2 linked regions of the Oryzias latipes genome follow. The protein of the gene in region 2 purifies or fractionates together with the protein of the main gene of each other region. This does not show direct contact. Links are inferred from orthologs where the notes say so. Each region holds a gene or a part of one and is shown on either strand. Other genes may lie near its edges. The genes, in order: sdf2l1 and ptpro.

What was found.
Region 1: the proteins of ptpro (region 2) and sdf2l1 purify together in Homo sapiens (affinity purification with mass spectrometry; 3 studies listed by BioGRID and IntAct, with this or other methods). This does not show direct contact. The link is inferred for Oryzias latipes from reciprocal best matches to the Homo sapiens genes PTPRO and SDF2L1.

Annotation. Positions count from the first base shown.
Region 1 is NC_019867.2:30,355,875-30,360,456, reverse strand, and holds sdf2l1 (stromal cell-derived factor 2-like protein 1), read right to left. Parts: upstream 2,925-4,582; 5' UTR 2,868-2,924; coding exon 2,684-2,867; intron 1,204-2,683; coding exon 1,007-1,203; intron 868-1,006; coding exon 589-867; 3' UTR 10-588; downstream 1-9.
Region 2 is NC_019881.2:23,563,875-23,567,684, reverse strand, and holds part of ptpro (receptor-type tyrosine-protein phosphatase O), read right to left. Parts: intron 2,237-3,810; coding exon 2,155-2,236; intron 1,922-2,154; coding exon 1,831-1,921; intron 1,761-1,830; coding exon 1,684-1,760; intron 1,552-1,683; coding exon 1,417-1,551; intron 1,329-1,416; coding exon 1,206-1,328; intron 1,121-1,205; coding exon 966-1,120; intron 637-965; coding exon 501-636; intron 388-500; coding exon 283-387; 3' UTR 267-282; intron 1-266.

The sequences.
Region 1 (4,582 bases), on a different chromosome or scaffold from region 2:
TTCATGAGAAATGACTGACACAAACATTTATTGTTGCTCCCTGAAATAAAAACAGCCCCACCCTCATTCTACAAACGCCAACATCTACTGACAAACAGAAATGAACCAGTAAGACCGACCAAACCGTGACGGGTGGGAAGTTGCATCCTGGGAAGTGTAGTTTTTATGCCTGAGAGCTGAAGGGGGTGAACATTTATGCAAAAAAAAGAAAAAAATCTTCACTTCAGTTCAAAAAGGTCAGCAGAGAGTTGAGAGGAGGCGGAGTCTGAGCCCAGCGGCTGCTGCAGTCTGAGCTGCACGGGAGGGGTCACTGAGGGGGGGCGCAGAACTGCTTCTGATGATCCAAAAAACCTGCAAACGGGACCCTAAAAGCCTGTTTGACAGACAGCAGCCGAGGACGGCGAGGCAGCGTGGCGCCCCCTGCAGGACGGTGCAATCAATGTGAAGCGGGGGCGGCTCCTTCCGTCATCCTTAAGTTCATAAAACAACCAAAATTCGCCTACCATAACCCCCACCCCCCCACGCCGAGGAAGGCGTGGCGTCAGCAGTTTGTATTTACATCCGGGAGCGCGGCGCCTGGCGCTGAGGTCAGAGCTCGTCGTGGCGCAGCGGCTCCATGCTGGGCTGGATGAAGACCCCCTCCATGGTGCGCCACCAGCTGTGCTGGGTGGGGGAGCTCATGCCGTGCACCTCGCGCTGGCCTCGGATGGGGTGTCCGTACTGCTCGCCCGTGACGCTCAGGAACACCTCGGTGCCCACGTGCTTGAACCGCACCGCCTCGTCTCGCTCCCACAGCACGCCGTCGCACTGGACCGTCCACACGTCCAGGTCGTCGCCCTGGCCGTTCTCGCCAAAGGCGCTGACCTCCTGCGGGACGCGAGACACGGATCGGTGACCTGCTGATCCGGACCACAACAGCACCACGGGAACACCCCACTGTGCCCGACACCAGAACCCGAGCAGAACCAGTTTAGACCCCTCCCCCTCAGCAAAGGGAGCCGCTTACCTGGTTGTTGGACAGCGGGGAACTGAAATGATGGGAGTGGAGGTTCCGGCCCGTCTTCATGTGCGTGATGCGGACGGCCTGGCCGCACTTGATGGGCGACCCGCGCTGACACGGACGGTCCGGTTTCCCCCGGATCTGCCAGTAACTGTTGGCGTCCTCGGCGGTCTCCACCCCGGTTACAGACTGCTGCCCGCTGCCTGCACACACAAACACACACGCACAGGTGAACAATGAAAATATTACCCCTTGTGCTATCTTGTGGGGTCCAGATAAAGCAGGTCTCTGCTCAAAAGAGTCTCTGAATCAAAGACCCATCAGGGTCCGGACCAGGAAGACCACCTGTGGGGTTGGAAAATCCCTCAGAGGTTCATGAACGCCTCACAGGAACTCAGGGATGGTCTTTGTGTTGCGTGAACAGCACCTGAGGGGAGTGGTTCGGTTTGTTCTAATGGAGGCGTGTCTACATTTTTTCAATCAAAATCTTTGTGATTCTGGAGCCGACGAAAAGATGCAGCTGGAAAAAGATTTGTGACAGAAAGTAAGTGGGCGGGGCCACAAGCTCTTTGTTTTCCTGGTCCGAGCTTGAATCAGGCTGAAAACGTCACACCTGGATGGCTCTGATACTGATCGCCATTTTTTCGCACCGCCAATGCTAGCTTGGGGTTGTGAAGGGCTGTAAGCTAGCAGGAGAGAGCGTCAGCAACAGTGAGAGACGGGGGGGGGCGAGTTATGTCCTAGAAAACGACACATTTGTATTGATTATGGATTGAAAAAACATCATAATCCTGATTAAAAGACTACTAGGAACGCGGTTATAGTAGGACGTAAGTATTAAATATGATTGCCAGTACTGTTGGGCGGAGCTTAAATAAAATGCATCCAACAAAAAGCAGTTTCATATTTCACCAGAAGGGGGCAGCAGTGCAGCAGCCACACTCATGCGCTCCTGTTCCACTGGTTAGTCTGCAGCAACAGTTCAGATTTTATTTTTGCTTTTTGTTTTTACTCCAGAGGTACAAACATAACTTTATACATTGAATCCTGTGTGGTCCACCTATATTATGAATTATCTGCACCCCCAAATGACCCCCATGAGACCACAGCAGAAACACTAATGAGCTTTAATATTTTGCACGTTTGTGTCATTTAACTGTTACTTGTTTGGAATTTAAAACCTTTTTTTTTAAATCAAAGTATTCAAAATCATAGTAAATCCGAGAGACCCCCAGAACCGGAATGGCAGCGGCACCACATGCCCATCTGTGATCCAGGCAAATGATTACCCCCCCTCTCCCAATAATAAATATTTGTTGTCACATTTATTTACATTATTATTCTGGTAATGCTTATTGTTCTGGTTTTGTTCATATTTTAATGATTTGTTTTTCAAACAGGATACTAACTTTTTGCATAAATTATTTGAAATGATGAATTGTAGGTGGTGAACACCTGTTAAAGGGGCCCTTGTTTGCCCCCCCAGCCCCCAGAGAGGCTTGTGACGCCCCTGTACGCAGAAACCCTCCGCAGGGTGAGCAGAACCTCCGTAGTTCGGCCCTTTCAGTCCACATGTGAAACGGGTCTGCTGGGTTCTGGATTGACTGCTGTACTTTCGCTTTAAAGAAGTCCAGTTTCTGAACAGAACCGGCACCTCCTCAGTGAACGGTGACGGTCTCTTACCTGAACCATACTTGACGTCGTGTGAATGCAGCCGGACGTTATGGCGCGTGTTCAGCAGCTTCACCAGGGAGCCGCACGTCACGTGGTTGAGTTCCGGTTCTTTGGCGCCGCAGCCGGAGCTCAGTAGCAGCAGAACCGACAGAACCGAGGCAACAATCCCGCGAAAAGCGACAGCAGCATCCATCTCTGACCTGACTCAAACACACCGGCACCAGCAGGCGGGACTTTCCTCCCGCACTCCACCAATCACGACGTGCCAAGTCCCTGTCACGTGGGCTCGTTCTCGCCCGTGATTGGTCACTGCGCGCCGATGTGCCGTCACAACATTGGTGACAAACAGGAAGTGAAGGACTGAAGGATCCCTTTTCAACGTTCATTCATTAAATTGTTCTTTTCACACTCACTCATTGATCCATTAATTATTGATACATTCATTATTCATCAAATAATTAATTCAAAGAATAAATTAGTCAATCGAATATTTATTTTTTGTTTGTATCGATTGATTCATTCATTTATACATTTGTCAAGGAATACTTTTTGAATGGTTTGTTTCAAAAATATTTGTTAGCGTTTACGAAGATTTTAATCATGCTTTCATTTATTTTTCTTCTGTTATTCATTTATGCAGGGCTGCCAACTTTTCATAAAAGCTTGGAGTGAGACTCAGGAAAAATAAGTCTCTATACGTCAGCAAGTCCTAAGACCAGTCTAGGGTAGTTTTGTGACAGTGTAATTCTTTAAATAAAGCACCACGAGGTAAAAAAAAAGAAAATTGAAAGAGCAACAAAAATCAATGATTCACTTTAAAAACATGAGGAACAAACTAAACTACATACTAAGACCAGACACAAGGCAAATTTAAAACTCTGTTCCCTCTAGTAATGACCTTTGGCGGTTTATGAGGCGTTGAGAATTCTAGTAAATGGCTCCCACTTGAAACACGGCTCAAGGCCTGCTGTTTTAAATGTCATTATCGATGATAAAGTTTCCTCCAAGGCCAAACTGTTCCTGGTCTTGGTTTTGTTTACATCTGAGGGGAGCAGCACCAGGATCATCTTTGCATGGTGACAAGCCTCTGGACCAGTCTGGCTCCTGTAAACTGTCAGAAATAAATAACATACAGTGCAATAAGCTATTAACTATTTCTTGTCTTTGTAAAGAAAAGCATTAGTTCAGTGCTTTCTCCACCATTCAATAGGGACAAGACCCAATTCTTTGGAACTTTTTTCTGTTAACTTTTTTAATATCTGCATTTCAGCAATGAGAAAATGGTTTGGCTGACTATGAATTTCTTATTTAATAGCATTTAGCATATTTCCTGTTGTGTTTCAGCACAGGCTGCGAGTAAAATCAGGCCACATTTGTCTCTGTCAGTTTCTGTAACATATCTTCAGGCAATCGTCATGTCTACTGTGTCTTATTGGGGTCCTGTTTGGTCACTTACAACTAATGAAATTGTATTATTGTTCTGTTTTGTCTTGCTATGTATGATGGATGCCTCGAGTTAAATTTTCTGCAGAGCAGAACAATATTTTTAAAATTTACAATGCCTTACAATTCCTTTGACTAAATTTACAATAATGTTTGTAAAAAATGTTACAATGTTTGATTTTAAACATCTACCTAGGGACTGCAGATGGAAAATAGCCCTTTGGCTAACTGGCATATTGACAGGAATGTCTATTAATATGTGCTGTCCCTGTATCAAGTAAATACATATAAAAAAAAAAAAACTTTGGTGAAGTTAGTTTTAAGTTGGATCCCCAGTGGGGTTTCTTAGGGACCGTCAACAAGTTAAAAGGGCATGATATGGCAAAGATTTCAGATCAAACCCAAAACTAAATGCTTTGCAAAAAGAAACAAATTACAATGAAAGATTCCCTCAAGTTCTATTCA
Region 2 (3,810 bases):
GCACACAAGCCGACACCCCCTTCTGTGACTGACAGAAGGGGCTTCTGGGCGTGGCCTTGCTCTGGTTTATTGACATCATCATGACCACATGACCAAGATCCTGGAAAACGGTCACATGACCACACCTTTCTGACCTCTGAACAGCCAGGTAAGCTTCTCTGAGGCCCTGAAGGGTCAGGTAGCTCAGGTTTTAGATCAAGTTTGGACCAAGCAGGCACCGGTAGCTCCTGTGATGGAAGCGGGTGGGAGGGCGGGTGGGCACTCACGTCTACAGACGGCGCTCTATGTCTTGCTGGCGTTCTCGTAGATGACGTCCGAGGTGATGGACTGCTGCTTCTTCTTCTGCCACATGAGCAGGACGCACTGATGGATGAAGACGTACTGCTCCTGAACACAACACAGCGGCAGTGAGGCCCCGGGCTCCGCTACGGAAGCCCAGAGAGGACACACAGTAACAGCAGTGGCTGTGGGTCAGTGGTTTGCCGGGAATCGGCTCTGACCTCCGTCTGGACCATGGACAGCCGGTGGGACCTCATCTCAGACACCATCCCCAGGATGTCCACGAACTCGTGCTCCCTCATGTGCTGCATGAGGCGGTCCAGAGCGATGAAGGTCCCGGTGCGGCCCACCCCGGCGCTGAAACACAAACATGGGGGTTCTGCTCAAAGGTTCTGTCACGATCGTGAAATGTTTCGGATGAAATTCTTTCAGTCGCTCTGGGATGATTTCATTTTAAAGCTGGAAGAGTTATTTTTTTAAAACATTCAAGCATTCCCAAGCTCTTTCCAAAATAAAAGCATTTTAGCAAAATAAAAGCAGAGCTAAACAGAGATGAACTGAATCCGCTTGTTTGTGAAGCGTCAGGTCACGAACGGCGCCAAAGAAAACCCTCAGATTCTGATGGATTCAGTACGACCCTTAAAATCTGGTTCTGGTGAACGTCTGTCACCCCCCCCCCCCCTGACCTGCAGTGGACGATGATGGGGTCTTTGGTCCGGTTGGCCTGCTGCCGGACGATGTGGACAAACTGCAGGATGCTCTCGATGGCGTTGACGGTGGGAACGCCGTGATCCGGCCACGATGTGTAGTTCAGATGCAGGACGTCCTGCGTCTCGTCCGCCTGGGGGGAGGGGAGGGGGGGGGGGGGGGGTCAGAGGGGGTTCGGCCTCCTGCCGCGCTGCAGACCCGCAGGTGAACGGACTCACGTATTCCAGCCTGAACTTGCGGGTGATCCACTCCTGGGACTCGCTCTGGGACAGCATCTCCACGCTGATCTCGCCGTACATCACTGGCTCGTCCGTGAAGGGCCAGTAGTGATCGCACTTCACCTGCAGGACAGCGTGACGTTAGCATCCCCGTCTGAGCACCGGCTGGTCTTCATCTCCGTGTCTGAAGGTCATCGGTGCGAGCGCTCACCCGCCGCCGCTCGTTGCACTGAGTCAGCATGACGATGATGGGCGCTTTCTGCTGCAGAACCATCTTCCAGAAGTCGACGCGCGTCTCGGGCAGCGGCCCCTGGGTGGCGATGTACTCCCTGGAGTGTTTGTAGCCCTGAAGACCAAACGGCAGCTTCACTGAGAAGAACTTTGATCCAAGATCCTCAAAAAGTTCAAGCAGGTGTCAACAGCTCCACCTGGTGGAGAGCTAAGGGTCTGTGTGAGGGGCGGAGCTTTAGGGACTCACGGGGATGTAGTTGGCATTGATGTAGTCTGCACCTTCATCGTTGTGCAACGAGATCAGCTTCACCCGACTGAAGTCGTCTGGAAAAGAGGAGGTGATCAGACTCCCGACGAAAGAGAGCAGCAGCTCCTCCTCCAGAGGAGAACTCACAGGGCAGGATGTTGGTGTATCTGTTCTTGGGCCTGTTGACCGGGAGGTCCGCGGCGTCGTGGCTCAGGTCCAGACCGACGCTCTTCAGCTCCTGCAAACATCCACAGACTGAGGAATGCCGACTCAGCAGCACGTCCCAACATCCGAACATGCTGGTCGCTGAACCAGCTCATTGGATGACATCAGACATCATCTGTGATGTCATCGTGAAAGTGACAGAAAACTTTAGATTCTGCTTCTGATCTTGGAGCCCGTTAAAGGTGACCTTTGTGGGAGGAGCATCGTGTTCACTGAAACTGTCCAATCACAGCGGAGAGCTCTTACCTCAAACTGCAGGGAGAACTTGTAGGCGGAGTCTTTGCCCATGTCTTTAAAGTACGCCTCAAAGTCGTCCAACTGCACCGGGCTGGAAGCAGAAGGACAGATGTGACCTTCATGACCTCCAGGTGGAACTGAGAGAACGCCACCGTGTAGATCCTTCTAGGGAGGAGCAATCTCATCCAACACACAACATCTGACACACAACATCCCACCACTGACACCAACATCAGACACACAACATCCCACCTCTGACACACTACATCCAACATCAGTAACACAACATCCCACCACTGACACCAACATCCCACCATTGACACCAACATCAGACACACAACATCCCACCTCTGACACACAACATCCCACCTCTGACACACAACATCAGACACACAACATCCCACCTCTGACACCAACATCCCACCTCTGACACCAACATCCCACCACTGACACCAACATCAGACACACAACATCCCACCACTGACACCAACATCCCACCACTGACACCAACATCAGGCACACAACATCCCACCTCTGAAACCAACATCCCACCACTGACACCAACATCAGACACACAACATCCCACCTCTGACACACTACATCCAACATCAGACACACAACATCCCACCACTGACACCAACATCCCACCACTGACACCAACATCAGACACACAACATCCCACCTCTGACACCAACATCAGACACACAACATCCCACCTCTGACACCAACATCCCACCTCTGACACACTACATCCAACATCAGACACACAACATCCCACCACTGACACCAACATCCCACCACTGACACCAACATCAGACACACAACATCCCACCTCTGACACCAACATCCCACCTCTGACACACTACATCCAAAATCAGAGACACAACATCCCACCTCTGACACCAACATCCCACCACTGACACCAACATCAGTAACACAACATACCACCACTGACACCAACATCAGTAACACAACATCCCACCACTGACACCAACATCAGACACACAACATCCCACCTCTGACACCAACATCCCACCTCTGACACACTACATCCAAAATCAGAGACACAACATCCCACCTCTGAAACCAACATCCCACCACTGACACCAACATCAGACACACAACATCCCACCTCTGACACACTACATCCAACATCAGACACACAACATCCCACCACTGACACCAACATCCCACCACTGACACCAACATCAGACACACAACATCCCACCTCTGACACCAACATCCCACCTCTGACACACTACATCCAACATCAGACACACAACATCCCACCACTGACACCAACATCCCACCACTGACACCAACATCAGACACACAACATCCCCCCTCTGACACCAACATCCCACCTCTGACACACTACATCCAACATCAGACACACAACATCCCACCACTGACACCAACATCCCACCACTGACACCAACATCAGACACACAACATCCCACCTCTGACACCAACATCCCACCTCTGACACACTACATCCAACATCAGACACACAACATCCCACCACTGACACCAACATCCCACCACTGACACCAACATCAGACACACAACATCCCCCCTCTGACACCAACATCCCACCTCTGACACACTACATCCAACATCAGACACACAACATCCCACCACTGACACCAACATCCCACCACTGAC